4 linked regions of the Saccharomyces cerevisiae S288C genome follow. The gene in region 2 interacts genetically with the main gene of each other region. Each region holds a gene or a part of one and is shown on either strand. Other genes may lie near its edges. The genes, in order: AAD10, YFH7, MLG1 and FIT2.

Region 1 (5,782 bases), on a different chromosome or scaffold from region 2:
TAGATTTAACTGGGTTAAGCAGTGGTACTACTGTTACGTTTGAAGGCACAACCACATTTCAGTACAAGGAATGGAGCGGCCCTTTAATTTCAATCTCAGGGTCTAAAATCAGCGTTGTTGGTGCTTCGGGACATACCATTGATGGTCAAGGAGCAAAATGGTGGGATGGCTTAGGTGATAGCGGTAAAGTCAAACCGAAGTTTGTAAAGTTGGCGTTGACGGGAACATCTAAGGTCACCGGATTGAATATTAAAAATGCTCCACACCAAGTCTTCAGCATCAATAAATGTTCAGATTTAACCATCAGCGACATAACAATTGATATCAGAGACGGTGATTCGGCTGGTGGTCATAATACGGATGGGTTTGATGTTGGTAGTTCTAGTAACGTCTTAATTCAAGGATGTACTGTTTATAATCAGGATGACTGTATTGCTGTGAATTCCGGTTCAACTATTAAATTTATGAACAACTACTGCTACAATGGCCATGGTATTTCTGTAGGTTCTGTTGGTGGCCGTTCTGATAATACAGTCAATGGTTTCTGGGCTGAAAATAACCATGTTATCAACTCTGACAACGGGTTGAGAATAAAAACCGTAGAAGGTGCGACAGGCACAGTCACTAATGTCAACTTTATCAGTAATAAAATTAGCGGCATAAAAAGTTATGGTATTGTTATCGAAGGCGATTATTTGAATAGTAAGACTACTGGAACTGCTACAGGTGGCGTTCCCATTTCGAATTTAGTAATGAAGGATATCACCGGGAGCGTGAACTCCACAGCGAAGAGGGTTAAAATTTTGGTGAAAAACGCTACTAACTGGCAATGGTCTGGGGTGTCAATTACCGGTGGTTCTTCCTATTCTGGATGTTCTGGAATCCCATCTGGATCTGGTGCAAGCTGTTAATCCTCTTTTAAAGTACTCATATGACTATACATACCTTCTTTTCTTTTCTTTACTATTCAATACATAACAGAACAAAGATGCAGGAAAATATTGGTATTTGTTCGGCAATTTATGCTGGGTTTTTTTGTAAATTCAGGTCTAATTATTACTGTTGATTTGTATCAAGTTGGTATCTTTTTTGCCATTTAATAATAGAGATACGCTATGCTCATCCGGATAGCAACAATGAGAGCCTAAAAGTCCTAATTGAGAAGAAAATCTCTGTTCAAGACTATAGTTTATGTTTCATTCTGGACCCTTGGGATCGTCTGAAACAGGAAGGTCAATAATTGGTAAAAAAAATGGTAAATGCGACTAAGTACTACAATTGAAACGAATGAGCGCACTTCATCTGCCTACAAAACGCTGCGGCTGAAAAAGTTACATAAAAAACCGTCCTCAATAGCGTTAATCCAGCGTACATGAGAAAGTAATGACAAAGTCTTCGGTAATATCAGTGCATCTACCAATATGACACAATTGTGAAACTTCGCTGACTCAAATAATAGCCCTGTTTTTTTGACCATTGTTACCCATCGAGCCAGTGAGAAAAAAGCCAAAATATCTTTAAGGCCTTCTCCATTTTATGTTTATCGATATTGTGTTGTCTGCAATATTGAAATTTTAAAGGCTATTTACTTTGCCTCTTGTTATAAACTAAGTCTGCCGAATTATGCAATATATAGCAAAAGCTGAAAATAGATGTAATTACATAATTCGCAGTTGTATATGAGTATCCTTAACTCGTACATTCCAGTTCATCTGTGACAAGGCACTGTTTTCCCTAATAATTATTAGGGAAACGTCCTTCAAAAATCAAAATAATTTTAGAGAGTCTCATCAACCTTCGCCATAGTTCGTGATGAAAACTTTACGGTACGTCAGACTTTAGATATTGATTTTTTTATTATTTCTCCCATCGTGAGTACAATTACCCTAGTTCGAACTATATCTTTCATTACTGGCGGAAAAAAAATTCAACGAATGTTCTTGGCTCAATATAGCTTAGTATTTATGTTTAAAGAATTTGTAATATGCGTTACTAGTAATTCCTTTGAATTTTTGAATGCTTTAACTGTGAGTTGGCGTACATGCAGAAACGGCCGTTTAAAATTTTACCGATTGCAGTGACAGAAAAGCTAGTTGAATATTTGTTTACATAAGCGATTCAGATAGACCCCTAATAATATCAAGCTAGATATGCCTGTTGGAAACTTCTCAAAACCTGCGCTAGACGTCCCACGCAATCAACTTACAGATATGTCAGTGCTAGGGAAAAGCCATAGAATGTTGAAAAAAGCGAAAAGGGTTTACTAACTTAGGCAGGTTGAAAAGCTTCTCGAAAAATAATACCTTTTGGTAAAACAACGTAAAGAAGTACTGCCATAACGTAGAATTCTGCAGTTATGAACATACTACAGGCGAAATTGCTAAAATTAATGAGGATAGTCAAAATTGGGTTATGAATCAAAGTTTTTTATAGATTTTCAGCACCGGTGTGGCTAGTAGTCGTCCATACATGACTCAAAGAAAAAAAAAATAAGTGACATAACGCGAAGTGAGGCATTATTGGGCTGCTAAAGAATTTTACGTTGGAAAAGAGGCAAGATTGTCTCATTTTCCTTCAAAATGAAGGTACTGCTGCCCCGGAGTAATAGTAATTTATTCTCAACAGAAATAGAATATTTAATTAATCAGAGTCTAACATTAAGGTCATGTGTTGATAGCAGGTGACGCGTCTGTAAAACTAATAAAGTATATAAAGCACATCCATGAGATCTTAAGACGAGAGATTTCCCCTACTCAAAGTACAAGCAGGACAGATTCAAAACGCAATCCATACGATGAACACAGATTCACACAACCTTAGTGAGCCATACAATATAGGTGGCCAAAAATACATTAATATGAAAAAAAAGGAAGATCTTGGCGTATGCCAGCCTGGCTTAACGCAAAAGGCATTCACAGTCGAAGACAAGTTCGATTACAAAGCAATTATTGAAAAAATGGAAGTATACGGACTTTGCGTGGTCAAGAATTTTATAGAGACCTCCAGATGTGATGAAATATTGAAAGAAATCGAACCGCATTTTTATAGATACGAATCATGGCAAGGCTCACCGTTTCCTAAGGAAACTACTGTGGCAACGAGATCGGTTTTACACTCATCTACAGTCTTAAAGGATGTGGTATGCGACCGTATGTTTTGTGATATCTCAAAACATTTTTTGAATGAAGAAAACTACTTTGCGGCGGGAAAGGTGATTAATAAATGCACTAGTGATATTCAACTGAACTCCGGTATAGTCTACAAGGTTGGCGCTGGTGCAAGTGACCAGGGCTACCACCGAGAAGATATTGTTCATCATACGACCCATCAAGCATGTGAACGTTTCCAGTATGGAACCGAAACCATGGTAGGGTTAGGTGTAGCTTTTACAGATATGAATAAAGAAAATGGCTCTACGCGAATGATAGTCGGTTCACATTTGTGGGGTCCGCACGATTCCTGTGGGAACTTTGACAAGAGGATGGAATTTCACGTTAATGTTGCAAAGGGAGACGCAGTTCTATTCTTAGGGAGCCTCTACCATGCAGCCAGTGCAAATCGTACGTCACAAGACAGAGTTGCTGGATATTTTTTTATGACAAAGAGCTACTTGAAACCAGAGGAAAATCTTCACTTAGGGACTGATTTGCGAGTGTTTAAGGGTTTACCATTGGAAGCCTTGCAACTGTTGGGGCTCGGAATTAGTGAGCCATTTTGTGGTCACATAGATTATAAGAGTCCAGGACATCTTATCAGTTCTAGTTTGTTTGAAAATGATATCGAAAAGGGGTACTATGGAGAGACAATAAGGGTGAATTATGGGTCCACGCAATAATCATTGTAACGGGAAAACATATCACCACAAGTTCGCTGTAAATGTGCAGACTGGGTGGCATGCTTCAAAAGCCTATTCTAGTACTTCCCTGCTGTTTTCGCACGGAACCGGTAAGAAAACTTCGTACCGAAATCGAACAACTTTCATTACTTGCACTTGTACAAATTTAAGGGAGCGGGATTTTAAAACATATAAAAGGATAGTGGCACAACTAGGAATAAGGTGTATTACCCAATATGATTCTCACCTTCGGTTGGGGACTGGTTAATTAATTGAATAGCTTCATAACCCACCGCCGCAAAATGTGCTCTTCGAAATGTCTGAGGCTTTTGGACCTGCACCTGAACCACCTACCGAGTTAGGACGTCTTAGGGTCCTATCTAAAACAGCTGGTATAAGAGTTTCTCCACTAATCCTGGGAGGTATGTCTATTGGTGACGCCTGGTCTGGATTCATGGGATCAATGGACAAAGAACAAGCTTTTGAGCTACTTGATGCTTTTTACCAAGCAGGCGGAAATTTCATTGATACTGCAAATAATTATTAGTATGAGCAGTCAGAGACTTGGATCGGTGAATGGATGGCATCAAGAAAACTGCGTGACCAGATTGTAATTGCCACTAAATTTACCACGGATTATAAGGGGTATGATGTAGGCAAGGGGAAGAGTGCCAATTTCTGTGGGAATCACAAGCGCAGTTTGCATGTAAGTGTGAGAGATTCCCTTCGTAAGTTGCAAACTGATTGGATTGATATTCTTTACGTTCACTGGTGGGATTATATGAGCTCCATTGAGGAAGTTATGGATAGTTTGCACATTCTTGTGCAGCAGGGCAAAGTACTCTATCTAGGTGTGTCTGATACTCCTGCCTGGGTTGTTTCTGCAGCAAATTACTACGCCACATCTCATGGTAAAACTCCCTTTAGTATCTATCAAGGTAAATGGAATGTATTGAACAGGGACTTTGAACGTGATATCATTCCAATGGCTAGGCATTTTGGTATGGCTCTTGCTCCATGGGATGTTATGGGAGGCGGGAGATTTCAGAGTAAAAAGGCAGTGGAAGAGCGGAAGAAGAAAGGAGAAGGCTTGCGTACCTTTTTTGGTACTTCGGAACAGACGGATATGGAGGTTAAAATCAGCGAAGCATTGTTAAAAGTTGCGGAAGAACATGGCACTGAGTCTGTCACTGCTATTGCCATAGCTTATGTTCGGTCTAAAGCGAAACATGTTTTCCCATTAGTGGGAGGAAGAAAGATCGAACATCTCAAACAGAACATTGAGGCTTTGAGCATTAAATTAACACCAGAACAAATAAAGTACTTAGAAAGTATTGTTCCTTTTGATGTCGGATTTCCCACTAATTTTATTGGAGATGACCCAGCTGTTACCAAGAAACCTTCATTTCTCACCGAAATGTCTGCCAAGATTAGCTTCGAAGATTAGTCAAATCAATAGTTTTAGTATGTTCATAATGTGAAAAATGTTTATATATACGCTTACACACACAGTTTGATGATTCAAATACTTAGAGAAAACTTTGCCGCTCATGCATTTGCAGGCATCTTTTATTGTGTTGATTTTGCGAGGAAATAAAGTGTTAAGATAAAGGGAGTTCATTTAAAGCTTGTATACATGCTCTGATACATAAATATGTATGTCTATATATCGAGTAGGAAACAACAGCTAATGTGAAATCATAAACAAGTCGTAGAGGAAGGCTGGGCTGAACGAGTGACGAAGCACGTTTAAGCTGGAAGAGCCAATCTCTTGAAAGTACCTTCCTGTCTGCATTTTTCTTGATGAATAGCCATCAATCTTTGAGCTTCCAAAGGATCAGAAACCTCTTCTGGTTCTGGCCAGGACAAGTATTCATTAGTGTAGTTCGAGACATAGTCTGGTGGCAGAATGGCTAATCTCTTACCGTAACCGGTAACCTTCTTCCA
Region 2 (5,594 bases):
CCGGACAAGTGGTTAAAGTAGCCCACTGCGTAATCCGTGACGATAGGGTCAATACTAGAAGCAGCTTTTCTCACTTGCGAACCGATGCTTGCCATTTCAAAAAAGTTATTTACCTTTTGTGCTATGAATCGAAGTTAACGTTTTAGCGCTTCAAAACGACTAGTCTTAGCTAGCTTACTGCAGAATATATATTTCTCTTTTCAAATGTCTTTCATTTTCTACTAGATCTAATAATACGAAAAATTTTCAGGAACAAAAAAATAAAAATCAGAAAAAAAAGAAACTGCGCAAGCCCGGAATCGAACCGGGGGCCCAACGATGGCAACGTTGGATTTTACCACTAAACCACTTGCGCTTGTTTTCTTGTGAAAACTATCCTTGGATAAATCAATAATAATGTTTGTAACTTCTCTAACCAATTTGAGATGTAACGAATGATAATTAGTGTGTTGGAATAAAAATCCACTATCGTCTATCAACTAATAGTTATATTATCAATATATTATCATATACGGTGTAAAGATGATGACATAAGTTATGAGAAGCTGTCATCGAAGTTAGAGGAAGCTGAAGTGCAAGGATTGATAATGCAATAGGATAATGAAACATATAAAACGGAATGAGGAATAATCGTAATATTAGTATGTAGAAATATAGATTCCATTTCGAGGATTCCTATATCATCGAGGAGAACTTCTAGTATATCCTGTATACATAATATTATGGCCTTTATCAACAATGGAATCCCAACAATTATCTCAAAATTCGCCAAATAGTCAAGTATTATAGCCTTGATCAATAATGGGATCCAATAATTATTAAACTATTCACCCAATCTTCACAGATCTTCTAGTCAACGAGGGAAAATCCATATTTCTAAATAGTATTATTTATCCTTGCACTTCAACTTCCATTGAAGCTGATGATTGTTTCTTAATTTTCATGTTATCTTCTGGCAGCGTATATGAGATTATACTAATTATATGAAAATATATTAATAGTATAGATACTAATCGGTAAACGATAATCGACTCTCATCACAACAAAATGCTTTTGCAAATATTGAGGAAATTATATATGTTTATTAAACATATATATCCTGTGTATTTATAGAGGCTTTCCTCCAACATTTTATTATTTTTGGCAAATAATACAGTAGCTTAGGATATCTTACGCACGCAACTGCAGGAAAAGAACGTCAAGACATTCTGTGAGTTGTTTTCCCGCAAAATGTTCCACCGTCGTTACTTTTTCAATTTCATAAACATATATCAGAATGGAAAAAGCCTTCATAAATGAGCTTCGAATTTTTGCGCAATCTCGAATATAAGAAGCATGTATATTTGTCATCTTGCTTTCATTGGAAGCAAAAGGGCAAAGTTTCAATCTTGTGCATGTAACCTCAGTAGTAATCTATAAGTGTGAGATATATCTGTCAATTTTTGCAGACCATTAACATTTTCCAAATACATCTTGAACTCTTCATCTTCGAGGGGAATTGTCTCCGTCTGGAATTTCTGCCTAATCAATTTGATAGTCTCTTTATGATGCATTAGAATGTTTCCTCTTAATTGGGCGACAATGTAATTTAAAGAGTCTTCGGAGTAAGACAATAAATCCATGGATTCAAGGGTTACCTGCTTGGATTCCTGTAAACTTTTCCGGAGCATTGAATTTTGGCGCTTCAACACTCCTAGCATAACGTCATCTTTCGCATTTTCATCCAGATTGTTGCTTAGTTGCTCTTTCTCAGTAATAGGAGCTTTCCCTCTTTGTTCTAGAAATCTATTAAATAATGCAATATTTTCCGTGGTATCGTGAGGTTCTTCAGATGTCTCATACTTGTTTAAGCTTCCGGATAATATGTCTATGTTCCTTAGTATTTTCGCCTTTTCTGCTTGATTTTCCCTCAACTGTTTCACTAGCTTGTTAACTAACAAGTACATATGATTCAAGTTTTCTGCTTGAGGAGACATATATACTTGCTGCTGCTGCTGCTGCTGCTGTTGTTGTTGTTGCATTGACAAAACGTTGATTTGGTCACTCATATCTAAACCTTGGCTTGAACTTCTTGTAGAATCAATATGTATTACTTCCCATATATGTCGTAATAAAGGGCACCTCTGCAGAGTTCATAAAGAATGCCGTTTTTGCTTGCGCGCCTTAATTATCTGTATTCAGTTCGATTTTACAAAAATATATACAAGGTTCCGCCTAACCTTCTAGTCGTTGCGGATATGGACGATATTATCTACCTTAATTAAATGATTATCTATATCCCTGCCATTCAACAAATCATTGCTGCGAAACTTCTCTCGTCCTTCTGCAATAGTCGTGACTAACCCTGATTGCAAATGCCTTTTGGCCACCCTTTCTTCGGTGGCCTCATAGTCTATGTCAATCTTATAAACAAGAAGTGCTCCCGTATCAGCTAATGTTTTGTAAATTTTCTTCCAGTTTTCTTGGTCATACAGTAGGTATAACCCTTCAAGTATAACTATCCTTGTAAATTTGGAAATACAGTACTGATCTGGAGTTGGGTCTTTTAGTGCATGGTTAAATCCTGGAACAAAGATATCAGGAATTGTTTGGCTAAAAGTTTTGGATAACTTCTCAAAAACGCTTGAAGTGGAGTAAAATTTATGATGTGAGGAGACCTTACATAGGGACGTCTTGGCTAGAATTTTACACAATTGTAAGAAATTGTTACTGTCAAACGTTGAGGGCGAACCTCTTCTTTTATGGGCAGTTTGTGGGTCTTTGAATAGGTCTAGACATCTGCGAGATAAGTGAAAACCATCCATTGGGACTATTTGCGCTATATTGATACTATCCTGGGCCAACTTGTTAACATTGACTGGATTATCAACTGCTGCGATTCTTATGGCATTCGCAGTACCACCTCTGGCAACTACTGCGGTACATTCTTCATTATTTGATGTAAGGGCTGAGTACTTGACTGGTTGAAAATTAACATCCTCAACATGATCTTTAAACAGCCCCTGATTTTCAATCATTTCAGCTACTTTATTGGGCTGGAGCGTCTTTAAAGAGTCTACTAGGTTAACCATAGGTTTCAACCTATCATTAACCTCAATAACATTTGGATGCTCTGACAAAAATGTGTGATATTTTTCATTTATAATTTGACAAAGTTCTTCCGCAATAGTAGACTTACCGGAGCCTGGAGAACCGACTAGGATAACACAAACCCTATAATTATCTTCGATACGGTTATCCAATAGCTGAAGAACGTCGTCTGCTAGTTTATGCGTATCGACCATTGTGGCTAGAATGATCCTCTGGTATGATACAGGATAAAATATGTATAGTACTAGTGAAATTAACCTAACAAGGTTACTTCATTTTTCCCGAAGAGCAATACTTGATGATGCTTAAAGGTACGCATTTAATGAACGAAAAATAACACAGTTCGTTTGAGTAAAAAGAAAGCTCACAAAATTTAATACAGAAAAAAAATTATATGTAAACTGTGGACAAGTCTGATAAGCCCAGATAACCCTTCTATTTCACGAAGGTGCAAGTGCGATTGAAAAGAATTGTTTCATGGCATTAGCTATCAGGACACGAATGCATAATCGTCAAGATATTATCGGTATGCAGCAGTTGAAGTTGTTATTAATGTTATAAGGCACCATCATATGTGGCTTTGGGATGATCTTCCGCCGATTGGTGTTCATATTACAAAAATTTTATCACGCTCGAGGTTAGAAGATGGCATCAATTATGAGGCATGAATAACAAGGTTTAAGCACTAGTAATCATAGCGGATGCTGAAACGCCAAGGTTAATGAGTTCATAAGATTAACGAATAACGAGAACTTAGGTATGAGTCAAAATTTTACTTTCATAATAGATTTATCGAAAATGTGATCAATTTTCTGAATAATTTGATAACTGTTGGGATTGCATTGTTGATCAAGACCATAATATTATGTACACAGAATATGCTAGAAGTCTCCTCGAGGATGTAGGAATCCTCAAAATGGAATCGGTAGTTCTACATAATAATATTACGATTATTCCCCATTCCGTTTTATATGTTTCATTATGCTATTACATTATCAATCTTGCATTTCAGCTTCCATTAGGGTTGATAACTGTTTCTCAACTTTTATGTCATCTTCCTGAACCGCATATGATAATATGCCAATAACATGAATATTACCAAATGGATGGCATTTCAAATTATTACTTTAACAAAAAGGAACCAAATAACTCATATAATAATTACCTATTTCTCAAATAGGTGGACGACGGTTTATCCAATTCCAACAATAATAGTAATTACTAATATTATGTAGATTTTTCGATCCAAGTCCTCGAGGGCGACTCATAGGAATGCTATCTTCAATCAACAATGACATCCGAATAATTATCTCAAGTTTTACAACATTCTCAAATATTATGGTAAAAAGAAAACTTTGCAATCTGCAAAATTCTCGAATTCTGAATCGCTAGATTTCCTTATGAGAAAAGTCACATTTAAAGGTGTTAGCAGCTAGTTATTATAGTCCTATAGTTCCTGTAACAATGAATTTTTCATAAATAGAAGCGGATTTAGCTCAGTTGGGAGAGCGCCAGACTGAAGAAAAAACTTCGGTCAAGTTATCTGGAGGTCCTGTGTTCGATCCACAGAATTCGCATTCATTTTTTGCTCTTCGGGGTTGGTCCTTAATTTTTTCAGTGCCATTCCTTATATTTCCAAATCTAGTTAAATGGTGAATCCAAGATTATAAAAAAAATATACAATTCTGTGTACAAAAGAATATACTAAACTTCTAGAAGCGAGTAAAAAAAAGTTAATACCTAAACGATTACGTGGAAACCTGAACGGGGTTTCTTCAAACCTTTTTGAACGATTTTTTCAATTTCATCAGGGTCAGAAGTAATACCAGTTAAGTTCTCGTAACCATCTTTGGTAACAAGGATATCATCTTCAATTCTAACACCACCGACATACATGTATCTTTTCAATACGCTCATATCGACAACTTCCAATCTTTCGGGGTGCTTTTCCAAAAATTCTTTGATCAAAAATTGATTAAAGTAGCAACCTGGTTCATTAGTGATAACCATATTTTCTTTCAAAGGACGGCGGATTCTTAAATATCTAAACATTGGATCTGGGTCGTCATAGTTTGGATTACCACCAACGTCGTGTACATCAAGCCCCAACATATGCCCTAGTCCATGGGGATAAAAAGCGCAAGAAGCTCTTCTTTTAAAGATTTCGTCCTCAGAAAACTCTTTCTTGAAAATACCCATACTTAAGAAATGTTTAATAAGAACCTTGTGTGTCAGTGCATGTAAATCGTCCCATTTAGCACCAGGTTTAATCCTTTCCATTGCTTGGTTTTGCATGTCAAGAACGGTTTCGTAAACTTCACGATGTTCCGCAGTAAACTTGCCTGAAGTTGGGAAACATCTGGTGATATCACTTGTATATTGTCTCCATTCTGCACCTGCATCAATTAAGATGGAATGTTTACCTTTGATATCTTCTGAATTCTTGACGTAATGTAAAGTGCCACATGCCGGTCCAGAACAACAAATGGGGTCATAGCCCAAAG
Region 3 (5,775 bases), on a different chromosome or scaffold from region 2:
TGACTCGTGTTGCCTCGAGTAAACGGTATGTCAAAAAGAATAGGTCCAAATATCATATATATAGCACCTTGAACCCAAACAAATCCAATTACAGTACCCGTAGCTCACATATGTAGAAAGAGCTTTGCCTGGCACAAGCAATAATGTCTATAATCAAAAAAATTGTGTTTAAGAGATTCAACTCAACTTTGAAAAAAACTGCTCTTCATGACCTTCATGTGTCATTAGGCGGTACAATGGTACCATACGCAGGATATTCCATGCCCGTACTATACAAGGGACAGACTCATATTGAATCACATAATTGGACCAGGACAAACGCTGGTTTATTTGATGTTTCTCATATGTTACAAAGTAAGTTATCTGGTCCTCATTCTGTTAAGTTTCTGCAACGTGTAACGCCCACAGATTTCAATGCCTTGCCTGTTGGGTCAGGGACCTTAAGTGTTCTATTAAATCCACAGGGAGGCGTGGTAGACGATACCATCATCACTAAAGAAAACGATGACAATGAGTTCTATATTGTGACCAATGCTGGCTGTGCGGAAAGAGACACCGAGTTCTTTCACGATGAGCTACAAAATGGTTCTACTTTAGATTGTCAATGGAAAATCATTGAAGGTAGATCACTATTGGCATTGCAGGGTCCTAAAGCAAAAGATGTGTTGGAACCACTTTTATCAAAAACAGCTCCTGGAAAGGATCTAAAAGAGTTATTTTTTGGACAAAGACATGAATTTGCGTTAAAGGACGGTTCTTTGGTTCAAATTGCTAGAGGCGGGTACACTGGTGAAGATGGATTTGAGATAAGCATTGCAAATGAGAAAGCGGTTGAGTTTGCGGAGCAACTCTTGGCCAATCCAGTAATGAAGCCTATCGGACTGGCTGCTAGAGACAGTTTAAGGTTGGAAGCTGGTATGTGTTTGTATGGTCATGAATTGGACGAAAGTATCACACCAGTAGAAGCTGCGTTAAACTGGGTGATTTCAAAGTCAAGAAGGGACCTAGTAGATCAAAAGTACTGGTTCAATGGCTATGCCAAGATAATGGACCAGCTAAACAATAAAACGTATAGCAAGGTACGAGTCGGATTCAAATACTTGAAAAAGGGGCCAGCTGCCAGAAATGGTGTCAAGATCTTCTTGCCCGATGCCGAAACAGAGGTCGGCCTTGTTACATCAGGTAGTGCATCTCCAACTTTAAACAACATCAATATTGGACAAGCTTATGTACAGAAAGGTTACCACAAGAAGGGAACGAAGTTGCTTGTTCAAGTAAGGAACAAGTTCTACCCGATTGAACTTGCTAAAATGCCTCTTGTGCCCACACATTACTACAAGCAGTAAACTGAGCGAAATAATATTCAGTTGATAATGCGTTTATTAAGAAAAGAAAAAGAGTAAAAAAATAATTTGCTATTTTGATCTAGTAAAGACAAATACAAAGATGCTTACGCTCAATTCCTTTATTTTTTTATATTTATGTAGCTTTTTGTATATTCTTAAGGACTTGTTTGATCTTTTACCCCTTCGCGTGGAGATAGGCTGCGCGGTTACTTTTATTAGAACGTACCCCAGATCTGTCCGTCGAAGGTTAAAGAAATGAACAAACAACCCTACGTACGACTGTGTTTTGCAGTTTAAGAAGGATGAAGCATTCCCAAAAATACCGTAGGTATGGAATTTATGAAAAGACTGGTAATCCCTTTATAAAAGGGTTGCAAAGGCTGCTTATCGCTTGCTTGTTCATTTCAGGCTCGCTGAGTATTGTCGTTTTTCAGATCTGTCTACAGGTGCTTCTCCCTTGGAGCAAGATTAGATTTCAAAATGGTATAAATCAAAGTAAGAAGGCTTTTATCGTTTTATTATGCATGATCTTGAACATGGTGGCTCCCTCTTCTTTGAATGTCACTTTTGAAACATCGCGGCCATTGAAGAACTCTTCTAACGCCAAGCCATGCTTTAGATTTAAAGACAGGGCTATAATAATTGCAAATCATCAAATGTATGCAGACTGGATTTATCTCTGGTGGCTTTCCTTTGTTTCAAATTTGGGTGGTAACGTTTATATCATCCTGAAGAAAGCTCTGCAGTACATACCATTACTGGGATTTGGCATGCGAAATTTTAAGTTTATATTTTTAAGTAGGAACTGGCAAAAGGATGAGAAAGCTTTAACAAATAGTTTGGTTTCTATGGACTTAAACGCGAGGTGCAAGGGGCCCCTTACAAATTATAAGAGTTGTTATTCCAAGACAAATGAATCCATTGCCGCTTATAATTTAATCATGTTCCCTGAGGGTACAAATCTAAGCCTCAAGACAAGAGAAAAAAGCGAGGCATTCTGTCAAAGAGCACATTTGGACCATGTCCAATTAAGACATTTGTTATTACCGCACTCTAAAGGCTTGAAGTTTGCAGTAGAAAAACTAGCTCCTAGTTTAGATGCTATCTACGATGTCACTATTGGATATTCTCCCGCCTTGAGAACGGAATACGTCGGCACCAAATTCACCTTGAAGAAAATATTCTTAATGGGTGTCTATCCGGAGAAAGTAGATTTTTATATTAGGGAATTTAGAGTTAATGAGATCCCTTTGCAAGATGACGAAGTTTTTTTCAATTGGTTACTGGGCGTGTGGAAAGAAAAAGATCAACTGCTAGAAGACTACTACAACACAGGCCAATTTAAAAGTAATGCTAAAAATGACAACCAATCCATCGTTGTTACGACACAAACGACTGGATTTCAGCACGAAACATTGACACCCCGTATCCTTTCATATTACGGGTTCTTCGCTTTTCTTATTCTTGTATTTGTGATGAAAAAAAATCATTGATTTAACCTTAAACCAAACATAATTAAACCTGTATTTCATATATTATTTCCACTTAGCTTAGCCATCCACAACGGTAAAGTTACAAATATATAAGTAATAGTTGCTTTCATAAAAATTATTAACACTTCTTTCGAACTCATCGCAGAAGTGTCGCCGGCCCCTCAACTTCGCGCCGTATCGCTTTTTTTTTTTTTTTTCAATACAGGATCAAGACGAAAAACACTTTTCTGTTCTTGTTTGTCTCTGTTGGTTGGATTATATCTCCAACAAAAGGGAAAATCCCAGTTTGACCTTATTATATTAGAATTGTCTTTTGTCTTCTTTCTTTCATTTTGTACATCTTTCTGTCTTCTCAAATCTTTTTTTTATTTTTTGTATATATAAAACTAAAGCTAAAAGACTATGGATACCTCTCACGAAATTCATGATAAAATACCCGATACATTAAGAGAGCAGCAGCAGCATTTGCGCCAAAAAGAGTCGGAAGGGTGCATAACAACATTGAAAGATCTTAATGTACCTGAGACGAAGAAACTTTCCTCCGTCTTACATGGCAGAAAGGCGAGTACATATTTAAGAATTTTTAGAGATGATGAATGTTTAGCCGATAACAACAATGGTGTAGATAGCAATAATGGCGGGTCCGTGACATGCGCGGACAAAATAACAAGGTCAGAAGCAACTCCCAAATCGGTACCAGAAGGACTACAAGTTTCTGAAAAAAAGAATAACCCAGATACTTTGTCCTCTTCATTGTCAAGTTTCATTTTATCTAACCACGAGGAGCCGGCAATTAAGCCCAATAAACACGTGGCGCATAGAAATAATATTACTGAGACAGGTCAAGGCTCTGGTGAGGATATCGCAAAACAACAATCACACCAACCACAGGTGTTACACCACCAGACTTCTTTAAAGCCAATTCAGAATGTTGATGAGGGATGTATTTCGCCTAAGTCCACTTATCAGGAGAGCTTACATGGAATATCGGAGGACTTAACGTTAAAGCCTGTTTCTTCTGCAACATACTATCCTCACAAAAGTAAAGCAGATTCTGGTTATGAAGAAAAGGATAAAATGGAAAATGATATTGATACTATTCAGCCTGCCACCATAAATTGTGCCTCTGGTATAGCGACACTTCCTAGTTCATATAACCGACATACTTTCAAAGTTAAGACATATTCAACTTTATCACAATCCCTAAGGCAAGAAAACGTCAACAATCGTAGTAACGAAAAAAAACCTCAACAGTTTGTGCCACATAGCGAATCAATTAAAGAAAAACCCAATACGTTTGAACAAGATAAAGAAGGCGAGCAAGCGGACGAAGAAGAGGATGAAGGTGATAATGAACATAGGGAATATCCCCTAGCAGTTGAACTAAAACCATTTACGAATAGAGTTGGAGGTCACACTGCAATATTCAGATTTTCGAAGAGAGCGGTTTGTAAGGCTCTAGTGAATAGAGAAAACAGGTGGTATGAGAATATAGAGCTGTGCCATAAAGAATTATTGCAATTCATGCCACGTTATATTGGTGTCCTGAATGTTAGGCAACATTTTCAGTCAAAAGATGACTTTTTAAGCGATTTGGATCAAGAAAACAACGGTAAAAATGATACCAGTAATGAAAACAAAGACATAGAAGTCAATCATAACAATAACGACGATATTGCGCTTAATACAGAACCCACGGGGACCCCCTTAACACACATACATTCCTTCCCCTTGGAACATTCGTCGAGACAAGTACTTGAAAAAGAGCATCCTGAAATTGAGTCTGTCCATCCACACGTGAAAAGATCACTGTCAAGTTCCAACCAACCTTCCTTGTTGCCCGAGGTTGTATTAAATGATAACAGGCATATTATACCGGAATCTCTGTGGTACAAATATTCCGATTCTCCAAACTCGGCACCGAATGATTCGTACTTTTCGTCCTCCTCTTCTCATAACTCATGTTCGTTCGGTGAGCGTGGCAATACAAATAAATTAAAAAGACGCGATTCTGGGTCCACCATGATCAATACTGAATTGAAGAACCTAGTCATAAGGGAAGTATTTGCACCGAAATGTTTTAGAAGGAAAAGAAACTCTAATACGACTACAATGGGAAACCATAATGCGCGTTTGGGTTCCAGTCCATCTTTTTTAACACAAAAATCAAGAGCCTCGTCCCATGATGCATCGAATACGTCTATGAAGACTCTTGGTGATTCATCGTCACAAGCGAGTTTACAGATGGATGACTCGAAAGTCAATCCGAATTTGCAGGATCCTTTCTTGAAAAAATCGCTTCATGAAAAAATATCTAATGCTTTAGATGGCTCGCATTCAGTAATGGATTTGAAGCAATTCCACAAAAACGAACAAATAAAACATAAAAACTCTTTCTGCAACTCTTTATCACCCATTCTCACTGCAACCAATTCTAGAGATGATGGCGAATTTGCCACCTCCCCGAATTATATCAGCAACGCACAAGATGGTGTTTTTGATATGGATGAAGATACGGGAAACGAAACTATAAATATGGATAACCACGGCTGCCATCTTGACTCTGGTAAAAACATGATTATAAAGTCATTGGCGTATAATGTTTCAAATGACTATAGTCATCATGATATTGAATCAATTACGTTTGAGGAGACGTCCCACACCATTGTTTCAAAATTTATCTTATTGGAAGATTTGACAAGAAACATGAACAAGCCTTGTGCACTGGATCTAAAGATGGGGACAAGACAATATGGCGTAGACGCCAAAAGAGCCAAGCAACTGTCACAGCGTGCAAAGTGTTTAAAGACCACTTCTAGGCGTTTAGGCGTTAGAATCTGCGGATTAAAGGTTTGGAACAAAGATTATTATATCACAAGAGATAAATACTTTGGTAGAAGGGTTAAGGTTGGTTGGCAATTTGCTAGGGTACTTGC
Region 4 (5,175 bases), on a different chromosome or scaffold from region 2:
AATGCCACAGTCTTCTTAGTCCTACCTATGTCCTAGATTTTTTTTTGCACCCTGTTTGTTCCGCACCCCGCTATCCCATATTTTTTGATGTATGTGAAGGAAAGCAATCTAAGGGCTCAAGAGCCGAGTTCCGCCATTCTAGGAAAGGGTGCAAAAAAATGGGGTTCAATTATCGTTCGAGATTTGTTATTTTTTTTTTTGTAAAAGTTGATTTATGGGGTATTTAAGCCAAGAACTATTTGAAGTATTAGGAGGTAATATGAATGTTCGAACAGATACAAACAAGTACTTCCACTCGCTTAAAAATAACTAATAACAATAATCCCTAAAATGAAATTCTCTTCCGCTTTGGTTCTATCTGCTGTTGCCGCTACTGCTCTTGCTGAGAGTATCACCACCACCATCACTGCCACCAAGAACGGTCATGTCTACACTAAGACTGTCACCCAAGATGCTACTTTTGTTTGGGGTGGTGAAGACTCTTACGCCAGCAGCACTTCTGCCGCTGAATCTTCTGCCGCCGAAACTTCTGCCGCCGAAACCTCTGCTGCCGCTACCACTTCTGCTGCCGCTACCACTTCTGCTGCTGAGACTTCTTCTGCTGCTGAGACTTCTTCTGCTGATGAAGGTTCTGGTTCTAGTATCACTACCACTATCACTGCCACCAAGAACGGTCACGTCTACACTAAGACTGTCACCCAAGATGCTACTTTTGTCTGGACTGGTGAAGGCAGCAGCAACACCTGGTCTCCAAGTAGTACTTCTACCAGCTCAGAAGCTGCTACCTCTTCTGCTTCAACCACTGCAACCACCACTGCTGAAACTTCTTCCTCTGCTACATCCTCTAGCACCGCTGAATTATCTAGTTACACCGGTGCTGCTGATGCCATCACCGCTGGTACTGGTTTGATGGGTGCTGCCCTTGCTGCCGTCATGTTATTGTAAATGATATGTGAATAATCATGCGGGATATCCGATTTTTATGAAGCACCTTGCGGCTTGGCCTTTTTTCGAAGTTATGTTAGAATAAAAAAATTTTAATAACACACATTAAGTATGTATGTATATATACTGTTTCAAGTTCGTTGGTCTTCCTTTAATTGTTTGAAACGGTTAAAAGTATCTAATTAAAATAAATATACCCGAAATCATACTAAAAAAATAGTTAATATTAATAAAAGTAATGATAATAATAATAATAACAATAATAATAATACGATGATGATGATGAAACGAAAAACTGCTACATTGAAGTCACTGAGAAACGTAATGAAAAAAAGTCCTTTTTACTAGCCTTTTGAAGGAGAAAGACAATTATATTAGCTTTTCATAGATAAGTTATAAATATGCTATACACGATAACTAATAGCTTTTTTCTGGTTTGAAACCGAGCTTATAATAGGTAAGAAATCAAACCAAGGGCCAATGCACCGACACTTGCTCCTTGGAATGCAGCAGGAGCAGCACCAGAAGAAGAGGCAGAAGAGGAGGAGGAGGATGAGGAGGATGAGGAGGATGTAGATGATTCGACGGCTTGAGTGACGGTCTTGGTGTAAAGGTTGGTTGATGAACCTGAACCGTTTGTCAAAGTAAGTGTCTTTGTTGTACTCTTTTCAGAGGTGGTATCTGGTCCTTCGGTGACAACCTTTGTGTAAGTAGCATCACTATTACTGACAACGACAGTTCTAGTGGTACTGTAACTAATGATAGGGTCAGCGGTGTCGGTAACGACCTTAGTGTAAACGTTATTACCGTTAGTAGCAGTAATAGTCTTAGTGGTCATTACACTCGACACAGCTGCTGCCGAGACGGCAGTCATAACTGTAGTAGCTCCGAAAATAGTTGAGAATTTCATTATTATTGTTTTGTGATGGCTTTATGATAGACTTTTTTACAAGGACCGTAAAATTCTGCCTGAAGCACGCACACATTCCTGTTTTATACATATATTGCTAGGTAATATAAAATGCTAATTATACTGCACCCAGTTAGATTCGTATACATCTTATCCGAACTCGATTACAAATTATACAAGTGATCCAATTGGGTGAACCTCGAAACAGTTCTCTGTTCAAGGGTCCGCTGCGGGGCGAGGGGGGGTGCATTTGAACTTAGGGTGCATTGTTTTAAATCCTATACAGGATATGAACTTAGTTAGTTCAATGATCGCTTGATAAATTGCACCCTGCTCTTGAGGGTCATTCTAAGTAATGAAATTTTGGGTGTTTTTGTTTGCCGTCCTCGTTCAATTCGCTTCCGCCGTTCTGGAAGCCCCGTTAACTTCCGTTCCCGCATTCCGATCGCTGTAGGGCTTGGCGTCAGTAGCACCCAGATATTTCACTGTAGGAGCTTACTTCACTCATTTCAATTGGTATACAGAAATCTATGAAATGTAGTTAAAGGCATCACTAATCCGCATCCGCGATACCCGCAACATATACGGAATGTCTATGTAAAAATGTCTCCTGTGACTTTCATTAATCGAATCTTTCTATAAAAAAAAAAATGAGCAAATCACAGTACACCCACTACTCGCATCATCAACGTTGAGTCAGTAGCAAAGTCTCCAGTTATGGTGCCCTCTGGTCCAATTGTAGTAAATTCGTTTGCACGGATGAAAAATAGCTCATGAATGTTCTTGTGTATTTGAATACCATTATGTGCGCGGCTCATACGGATTTAAGTGTGATCTTCCCCTCCGTATTCCCTGTCAATAACTCAAAGTTTTCCCATTTCGGTTTGAAGTTCTTCACAAGGGAGTTTCTTGGCGCAAAGGCATGATGATCGCATTTGCCTCAGTATATTTCGTCATTTCGGTACTGAGAAACGAAATTATTTTGCCTGTTGTCTTGCGTTTTGGCAACCCTTAAGAATTCATCTAATATGTTGGTCCTTAAAGATAAGCGCTTTTGCTTGTAAAATTCTGATTTTTTGTCTTGTGATGGTAATGCTACATTGAACATCAATGCGTATCTGATTTTAAAAAAAAAATTAGAAGTGTGTATAAAATGAAGGTATTATCAGTTGAGCAAATATTACATGTGCTCTTCAAAAGTACCTGCTTTTCATTTAGTGACTATCAGGATGATAACGCCGCTCGTCTTATTTTTAACTGTCGTTTTCTGATAAATGTGTTGAAAACGTGCTAAACAACAATTACCTGTTCTCAAGAGCCTTGAGCCTGGATTGAGAGCAAAAAATCTCTCTTTCATTTTATACAGAATTCGGAAAGAAGATGGATATTTCATGAAAATCTGTTGGTAAAAAGTGGATAAAAATTTTGTATTATTAGTATGTTCTTAGTGGTTAGGTGATAACGAAGCGAGAAAAGCAGGGCAAATGGAATAGAATAGCGTGTAGTTGTTAAAATTTTATTTCACTGAGGCTTATATGCTTACTGAGAAATTTTTTTTTTTTACAAAAAACTTCTTTTTATGTTATACCAGCTGTGGATTACCACAACAATTGGAAAGAACATCAATCCAGAAAAAAAATTCAGTTAATTTGGAGGAAGAGAAATTTAAGTCATGGAACAAGAGTGGGAGACAGTTAAAAAATGCTTCCAAAGATTAGTAGATTGAAAAAGTTTGTGAAAGTCGATCAATTGTCTTCATTGCAGCTAGACATAAATTATGTTTCAGGTCAAAACAATTAAATATATACTTGTGATAGGTAAAATAGTGAGGAAATAAATAAGGTAATTGATTACCAACTTTGGTATTCTTCAAAGTATTCGATTGCCTTTGCAGGCTTCTCTAGAACAAGATTTGCCGTTTGATCCCTTACTTCGTCAACGAAAACAGGAGGCCCACAACAAACCACAGCTAACGATCCATTTAGGTCACCAACTTCATGCAGAAGCTTTTCAACATTGGGTCTTCCATGATGAAAAACAGTACCATCAAATTCAACTGGATTAGGTGACTGTTCTAGGGTAGTTGCCATAACAACACCTTTTCCATCGGCCTTCTCGTCTTGTTGAGAAATTTCCAAACTATCATTAGGAGTTAATGCCGGAACTTCCATTGTATTGTAGATGTGAAGCTGTACATTAAGATCTTCTAGACACATCAGCTCCGGCTTGTAAGCCTCGAGTACGTTAAACCCTCTAACTGCAATCACTAATTTTATGAATTGTTTTCCAGTTGCCGCTGACGTTTTTCCAAGTTTAATGGCGTGTGCAATGGGCCCTGGCAAACCAGTACCTCCCGTAAGTAGCAAGACGTTATCATAATTATTGACTGGAGATGAAGAGCCATATGGACCTTCTATAGCTAGTCTCATAGATGCCTTACCTCCATTGCAACACACATACTTTTTGACAAGTTTTGTTACTCCCTTTTTTTCCTTCAGGATAATAGTCAGCTCACCATCTTTGATAATTGAATCTAAGACTGTGAAAGGATGTGACTGCCAAAAATACAGGTGGTGTAGGAATGAAACGAAAACATACTGTCCTGGTTTGGCTTTCCATAGCCTTACTGGTCGTTTGACTGTGACTCGAATGATGTCATCGCCAACTAACTGTAAGGAAGCCTTAGGGAAACCGAAATAAGATACTCTAACAATTCGAATTAGCCTATCAATAGTCCAGATAGCAATAGCAGCGTATATCCACTCAATCCCACTCAATTCTACGACGTGCTCCCAACACGTATAAAAGAACAATGCGCCAAGCACAATATGGAGAAATAAGAAGGCTTCATAGAAAAACTTTCTGAACATTGCCAAAGAAAAAAACACCATAACACCAACTATACAAAGAGCAGCTACTCCAAATTGCCAATATGTCTCTTCCTTGCTTGCTGCCCAATCTTTGTAGAATACGGAATAACTGGTATAAGCAGCGCCATGAATCACAGCATCTAAAAACATCATTCTTCCCAACCACTTATGAAACATTATGAAAGAGGTATATTTTACTCCAGAAATGAATTCTAGAAAATTGTTCCTTCCTGCGAAAAGAGCTATTAGGGGAAAATGTGCAAATGCCAGGACACCACTTCTATCTGCCACGTATCGAGCAATCTGTTCTCTACGAGAGTCGAAAATTAAGTTGTAAGGATCATATTGATACCCGTATGCCAGAAAAACTGTATGAAGCACGAGGTATCCAAGTATAATGACGCCTTCAGATCGTGTGGGAAGGAAGCCTGTAAAAATTTTAAGGTAAGA

Evidence for each region.
Region 1: mutations in YFH7 (region 2) and AAD10 together harm fitness more than expected from each alone (negative genetic interaction), as found in Saccharomyces cerevisiae (one large-scale study listed by BioGRID).
Region 3: mutations in YFH7 (region 2) and MLG1 together harm fitness less than expected from each alone (positive genetic interaction), as found in Saccharomyces cerevisiae (one large-scale study listed by BioGRID).
Region 4: mutations in YFH7 (region 2) and FIT2 together harm fitness more than expected from each alone (negative genetic interaction), as found in Saccharomyces cerevisiae (one large-scale study listed by BioGRID).

Annotation. Positions count from the first base shown.
Region 1 is NC_001142.9:722,990-728,771, forward strand, and holds AAD10 (putative aryl-alcohol dehydrogenase), read left to right. Parts: upstream 1-4,415; coding exon 4,416-5,282; downstream 5,283-5,782. Other genes in the region: PGU1 (endo-polygalacturonase), read left to right, coding at 1-911; YJR154W (uncharacterized protein), read left to right, coding at 2,795-3,835; THI11 (4-amino-5-hydroxymethyl-2-methylpyrimidine phosphate synthase), read right to left, coding at 5,585-5,782.
Region 2 is NC_001138.5:156,989-162,582, reverse strand, and holds YFH7 (Yfh7p), read right to left. Parts: upstream 3,285-5,594; coding exon 2,223-3,284; downstream 1-2,222. Other genes in the region: putative AAA family ATPase GCN20, read right to left, coding at 1-95; FAR7 (Far7p), read right to left, coding at 1,383-2,048; YFR006W (putative Xaa-Pro dipeptidase), read right to left, coding at 4,831-5,594. UniProt on the Saccharomyces cerevisiae protein: ATP-dependent kinase that could be involved in endoplasmic reticulum membrane assembly.
Region 3 is NC_001136.10:479,734-485,508, reverse strand, and holds MLG1 (putative acyltransferase), read left to right. Parts: upstream 1-1,648; coding exon 1,649-2,839; downstream 2,840-5,775. Other genes in the region: GCV1 (glycine decarboxylase subunit T), read left to right, coding at 144-1,346; inositol polyphosphate kinase KCS1, read left to right, coding at 3,242-5,775.
Region 4 is NC_001147.6:1,056,211-1,061,385, reverse strand, and holds FIT2 (Fit2p), read right to left. Parts: upstream 1,856-5,175; coding exon 1,394-1,855; downstream 1-1,393. Other genes in the region: FIT3 (Fit3p), read left to right, coding at 331-945; YOR381W-A (uncharacterized protein), read right to left, coding at 2,796-2,963; FRE3 (ferric-chelate reductase), read right to left, coding at 3,706-5,175. UniProt on the Saccharomyces cerevisiae protein: Involved in the uptake of non-siderophore and siderophore sources of iron. Has a role in the retention of iron in the cell wall and periplasmic space.